Drosophila melanogaster: one gene and its partner. The protein of the gene in region 1 interacts with the protein of each later gene in a pairwise test. Each region holds a gene or a part of one and is shown in the gene's direction. Other genes may lie near its edges.

Evidence for each region.
Region 2: the proteins of CG8620 (region 1) and AMPdeam interact in a two-hybrid assay, tested with the Drosophila melanogaster proteins (one large-scale study listed by BioGRID).

Annotation. Positions count from the first base shown.
Region 1 is NT_037436.4:7,156,071-7,159,503, forward strand, and holds CG8620 (uncharacterized protein), read left to right. Parts: upstream 1-2,029; 5' UTR 2,030-2,176; coding exon 2,177-2,740; 3' UTR 2,741-2,804; downstream 2,805-3,433.
Region 2 is NC_004354.4:13,838,356-13,842,113, reverse strand, and holds the start of AMPdeam (AMP deaminase), read left to right. Parts: upstream 1-2,102; 5' UTR 2,103-2,343; coding exon 2,344-2,548; exon of another isoform or gene 2,549-2,552; intron 2,553-3,758.

The DNA of each region.
Region 1 (3,433 bases):
CTCAGTTGTTGTTCCTTTGGTGGGCGACGATGGAAATGTCAGAGGGTCGCGGTATTGGTATTACGGCCTCCCAGGGCATTCTCTTTTCGCTTGAGTTTTGATTTTTTTTTTTGCTTTGCCTGATAATTCTATTATTGCTCTCGCTCTCTTGGGGGGGAGTGCAAAATAATGGATGGCAATTCGCGGACGGAAATTTGCGAATTTAGCGCGTCGCTTCAATTTTGTGCAAATTGAATGCACAAACACTGAGAAGTGGAGAGAAATTACTAACTTCGGCGTTCTCCCTGTCTCCCACACACACACATACACGTGCACGCGCGAAATTTCGTGACAGCTGCAGCTGGAGAAGAAGAAGAGCATGAATGATCGCTCAAGGACTCGGTATCGTCCTGCCGTTTCCTCTCTCTCTTTCTCTCTCTGGTTCACTTCCTTTTGTTGTTCCGTTTACCTAACACAACGGCTTATTTGTATTGTCAGGACCAACTCACACACACGCACATACACGTACACTAGCGCACTGCAGCTGAGCCCAAAGGAAAAATCGATGATGAATCTGCGAATTAAAAGTCTATAGCCGCACATCGATTAATCTGCAGCTGAAGCGAGTCGCTTTAATTTAGTTTTTCAGCCTTGTTTTTGCTGCTTACGAGGAAAAAGACAGCAAGGCTTCGTTGAAAAACCCGTTCGGCGCGCAGGAAAGTCGGAAAAACGAAAATCGTATAGCGGCTTGGTAACAAAACGCGCCCACTCGCGGAAAACAACAAGTTTAAATATTAATTAAATCGATTTATATTTACTAAATCATAATATACATCGCTATTACTTCATGTAGGCGAGCAGAAGCACACTCCACGTCGAATTTATTGTTCGTTTGCTTAAAAAATCAGTTTCAATTGCCGCAACTCCGTTGGCATTAAAGTTATAACGATGTTTCTTTAATAATATTTTTTAATGGTAACCGAAAAAACAGCGCGCGCTGCTGCGCTCTCCCGAAAAATTACAGAGAGAATGCGTTGCGAGCTGCTTATATAGATTTTTAAAATATCAGAGAAACCAAATGATGGTAATGTAAAAATACCAAAGCCGGGAAATCGCGTTTTAACAGTCTGTTAACAGTCTGGCGTATCACACTGTTAATTCTCTTCAGCGGTTAAATGTATCTATTGGATGCGCCAAATATATCTTATCCATATTAACAGCTATTTTGATTAAGAAAACTTAGACTCGTTTAGTTTTATTTAAAATTTTTTAATAGTTTTGAATTATTATACCTTTTGTCGATTTTTAAATATAAGTAAACGTAAGGAATGATTTTAACCGCTTGTGGTTAAGACTGCATATTTTGGCGGGCACAATTCAAAAGCAATCATGAAAATACCACAATAAAAATACTAGTCTCAAGCGGTAATGTCTTATACGTAGTCTTATACCTTAAAATTAAATAGCAGTTCTGTAAAATATTTAACCGTTTAGTATTTCTAAAATAATGTGCTAAACCTGATTTATGCAATTATTAAGATCCCAAAACATTTTCAAAAAATTGTGTAAATTTCTTAATACTTTATATTCTTAAAATTTTCGATGATTTAAAACGATAAAATAATTGTTTTAAAATTACACACTTGGACGAAATTCAAAATTAAAATTATATCAAAATAATGTCATATTTCACAAAATCGTAAAAAATAATAAAAGGTATGCTTATAAAAATACGCAGAATATTTATAATGCATATAATATGCAGAAATACAAAAGTAAGAAGAATTTCGCAAAAATATGAAATATGTTTGAGGTTACGTTCGGCAATGAAATTATGTAACATTAAAAACACGTGATCAATGGAAGTAATTTCCCAAAAACCCATGAATGCGATTTGGTTAAAAATAGCTCAGATGACGTCACATTTATCGTGTGGTTTGTATGAGTATGTGACTGATAAAGAAAGGCAAATGTTTACAGTCCGAAAGTCGCGATTAGCTTGGCGCCAAAGTTGCCTATAAAAGCTCATCGACCGAATGCCGCAGAAGCCAGTCAAATTCAAGTGTTCAAGTGAAGCAGTCGAAACATAAGCAACAGATTCCGCAGCAGTTATATCCAGTTCAGAGAAACAGTAGTTAATCAGTAATTAAAGTGTTGAGTGAATTTCTTATCGGGTCAGTTGTAAACTAGTGCAAAAATGTCGCAATCCGATAACGTGGCACGTGAGCAAACTGCGGCAAATGCAGGGCCGGATGCATGTCAAGGATGCCGCGGCCAATTGCCAAATGCCACGCCCGTGGAAGTCGAGGACATGGCCTTGCCGTCGATGGAGCGTCTCATTCGAAAGGCCAACATGGCCCAGAAAATGCTGAACGATGTGATGAAACAGATCCAGAAGCAGCAGCAGCAGGAATCTCAACTCTCCATCAAGGAGACCAAGTCCAAGCACCGCAGCTCCGATGGAGGTAAACGACGACACAGAGGACGCAAACATCATAGTCATAGTCATCACACTAGCTCATCTTCCAGTTCCAGTTCCGACCACAGTGACTGCGAGCTGATCCTGGCGGAGAAGGAGGGGCACATGCCGCGGAGAAGACACACGCGAGATGACCGCAAGCGGGATCGTTCCCGGTCTCGCGGTCGCTCCCGTGGTCACTCGCGTGGTCGTTCTCATGGGCGTTCTCGTTCCAGGTCCTACACCGATTCCCGACGATCTCGAGCACTACCCCTGGCTCTGCCCGTTCGGATTTCAGTGTGAGTATCTGGCTTCATTCAGTATTATTCAATATTCATTTTATATATTAAGTGCGCATAAAAAAACCAAAAAAAAAAAAATAATAAAATATATAAAATATGAAAAAAATATTCAAATGAATTCTTTTTAATGGAGGGTGGGCTTATCTTTATTTTGGGTGCAAATAATACATACTGTTCAGGTATTCAAGATAATAAGTTACATTCGTTGATGAAATGCTGATTTAATTTAGCATTCATATTTACCAAAGTTGTGAAATATTTGAACCATTTTTCTGAGAAAATAAAGTTCAAAGTTTTGGAACTGTAAAAAGAAGTTTTTATCTTACCTCCATCAGCCGATTAACAAATAAACAATCGTTTGTTATTTTTAAATATTTCTTATATTTTTTAAATGCCGTTTGTTTTTACATTAATAGTTTTTATTTTGTAGTTGTTGTGCTAATTATATGTTAAACATAAAAATTGTTTCTCCCTCTCGTATAATTACTCGGTTTGTTCTCGTTTTGATTGTGATCTATTAAGTTAATTTCATCTTTTGATTTGTAGACTTTGCTGTGAGTTTGCTCCTTGCAGTCGCAACTTTTCTGTTGTTCTTAATAAATTCGTAAAATTCGATGTTAAATGTAATAAACCATTTCATTGCTTCGTACAAATAAATGCATATAAAAACCGACTAAAATCGCGTTAATCGCTA
Region 2 (3,758 bases), on another chromosome or scaffold:
AGATTTTCCAATCAAACCGACCAAAACTGAGTGGAAAATCAGAATCAGTTGTCGGCGCGAAGTCGAATCGAACGGAAAGTCGAAAGTAAAGCCGCGGCTAAAGTCGTTCTTTTGCCGACTTTTCCTGGCTGCCATTACGCAAGTCACGGCCATATTTTCATGTGAAAATCAATAGTGGCCATCTCAGCGGGCACTTTGCCCAAGAAAAATTTAAAAAAAAACACGAAAATCCCGAACGCAGCAATTAATAAGTTCGCAATTCGGTCAATAAACACAAAACAAAGAGCGTTGCCAAAAATATAACGAGATAAAATGAAATGAGCTTAAGCACAATCGAATAATAAATTGAAACGTACAACAGATAAACAAACGCATATATGCACGTCTATAAGAATGCCCATCTTTCAATATATACATATGAATATATATATCTATATATACATAAACATATATATTTGCATAGTATATGTATGAATGTTTGCATATCGCACACTCGGCAAATAAGGCAAATGAACTGACAATGACTTGCAGACATGGCGAAAAGCGCACAATACCACCAGGTTGAACAAACCAATTGGCCTATGAAGCTATCAAAGAAAAAAGAAAAAAAGCTGAAAAAACTTCACATGGGTTATTAACAACCCACCGCTAACCACCGATACCGATACTCCATTGCCAATTCCAATTCCAATTCCAATTTTGGCTCCCATCTGGGGGCTATTGATAAGCCACTTCTGACAGGGCGTTAAACAAATCGAGCCGAGCCCTCCTAATAGAGGAAAGTTACCAGACTAGAATACGGAATAGCAAACTACGAATTTGAAGTGGTGTGTCAAGGAGGCAGCCTTATCGTACTTATCACTTGTCGATCGATTCGATCGAAACATCGCCAAAATGGATCATTAATTTGGTGGTCTACAAGTATTATGCAGAAATTATGTATTTGACAATGATAAATGAGCATATAGGTGGTTTCAAGTTGAGAAATAACCAATTCCATAATCAATTTAAAGAGTGGCACAGTATAATGCATTTTTGACCAATAAGGTCCGCCTTTTGGCCAAATTATTTATACAAATTTACCTAAAATGATGTATCGTACCTCGCTGAGTTTGAAAAGTAGTTTTTCATTTAGTATTTCAATATAAAAATTCTAAATTGTTGCCATTTTCGCAAATTTTGGGTTACAAAAATGGTAAAATTTTGAATTTGGGTATAAAAATAATCCATTTTTTGACCAAAACTTGAAAATTAGTGCTCCAAATATGGAATGTCATATATCGTTGAGTTCGTAATTAAATTTCCAATCAAACTGTATTTAAAAGTTAGAATTCCATTTTTTTGCAATTTTTTGCAAATTTTGATGATGGTACCCCTTACAAAAAATGCAAAAATTTACGAAAAAATTTTTTTTCCAAAATTCGTCAAAAAGTGATAGAATTAGTTAGCATTGGTAATTAGCTGCTCAAAACAGGTATTCTTTTATCTATATGACCATTTTTACCAAAGTTATGACGAAAATTCGGTTTGTAAATATCAAATTTTTGGTAAAAGTCGTTTTTCCGAATTTCAATAAATGGAAAAACTGTTAGTCCTTTAAATCACATGCCCATTCTTAGCTAATCAGAAGAGGTTAAAGTTAGAGACGATGCCATATTGTTAATCGTCTAATTTGTACATATGTATATATCTATTTTTTTTACTGGGTTCGAAGAGCTTTGATCTTGAAAACCCCCTTTGGCGTTCCACCCATTCGGCGTGGCTATATGCAGTTTGTTTATCCAAAATATTGTTTATAATTAGCAAACATTGTGGGCTTTCCGAGCTTTGTGCCGCAGCCGTGTTTGCTAGTGACTAGAAAGCTCCCTACCAACTTTACCCGATATATAAACTTTGGATCCGCTGGGATCGGGAGAGGTGTGAAACTATATAAAGAGTGAGAGAGGAGAGAAAGCAGAGGAAAATACTGAGGCGTAGACAAAGAAAAAAGCGAAAGACAGACGCGTAGGAGATGCGCGAATTGCGTCGAACGGAATTCAAACTAAATTAAGTGCAGTCGATCGCGGGCGGTATATATATTCCACCGATCCGAACCGACAGTTGCCCAAAGACATTGCCCCAGAGCAGAATATCGAGCAGAGCGGCGACACCTGTCACCGGGGGAATTACATAAAAAACAAAACAAAAATAAAAAAAACACAAACACTCAAGATTTTCACAACACACAAATCAGTAAACATCGGAGAAAAATCGAAACAAATCAACACGAAACACTCATTTGGATTAGCCGTTAGCCAATATAGACCGTTCAGGATCCCAGGATCCAGGATCTCAATTGCCGAGATGTCGTACCGCGGAATGCTGAGCACCTCGGACGGTTCGCCCGTCGAGCTGCGCGTCCAGGATGTGGACTCCTTTGACGGATCGATGATGTCCCATGCGGCCACCAATGCGGCCGGTCCGCTGGGCAGCAAGGCCAGCGGCAAGTCCCTCAACGCCTGCACCTCCATGTCCATGCCCCAAAAGCCGAGTTCCCTAAGGGCGACATGTAAGTCGCCAGTTCCCCAGCCGCTGCCCATGTAAGTGAATGCATCGCGACGACACAAGCCACACGAGCCACACGAACCACCCAACCGCCACCCACTGACCTCGTGCACTGCGCGAAAACACAGCAGTCCAGTTGGTAGCAAAACGTATGGCCTTAAATCAATGAAGATGGGCTAACTTATTTCTTGCAAATCATCGCTTACCTATTACAATATTATACCAAGTTGAATGTTTCTTTGTACATCTCTTTCTTTCGATGTCTTTGTCTTTGTCTTTCTCTCTCTCTCTATTTTCTCTGCTGCAAAAAGAAAGCAAATGACATTCACTCTCCCACGCACACAGCAAAGCACTCTCACTCAAAACAAAAAAAAAACCTGTAGCAATAACTCACACGGTTCGCTACACTCGAAGAAATGCCTTGTGTGGATGCAGATATGATCTTTGGTTACAAGCTGTATTTAAGAACTTCTTAACTTGTTAACAATGCTTGTTTTATTAAGCAAATATTGCCCACAAGCCGCATCAGTTGCCTGAAAATTGTTTAATTCATTTATTATTGTATGTACCACTGCATTGTTTCAGTGTAGCGCTAATCCTCTGTCGCTGCGCTGCCAATCAGTCGCAACATCTCTTGAGTCGCACTAACCCATATAGAAATATAGGAAAGTTATAATACCCTGTAAAGTGGTATAGCACTTGGGTTTCTTAAGATACATACTTCAAAATATACAAAAATAAAATGATAATAAATCAGTTTAGATTGCGTCAATCAAGTTTCTGCGAATATATCCCGGTGCCTTGTGGAATAATAAGCTTTTTAGTTAAGATAATTAGCCCACTTAAATATGATTCTTTGCGGCGGGTTTATTCCTTTGATGATAGGAGATTATTGTTGTTTTTGTGACCTTGAAGTGTATTCCAACTTCGGATCGTTTTAATCAGTCTCCTCATCTAGTTTGTTGTGTTTTGAGTGCGTGTTTTGATTTTGCCAGTATTTTTGCTATCTCCGCTAATCCCTCTCTCCTCCATTTCCGTCTCTTTCGTGCTGTTTTACACTGCAAAAAAAATATAAAAGAACAATTAAAATAAATAATATTAGCTATTATAATCTATATTTGAATTATTACCAAACATCCAAGTGATCTATTCAAATGATCTTGAATATCAGTTAGTTCGGATTAATAATTTCACAGTGAATCTAAGCTTATATG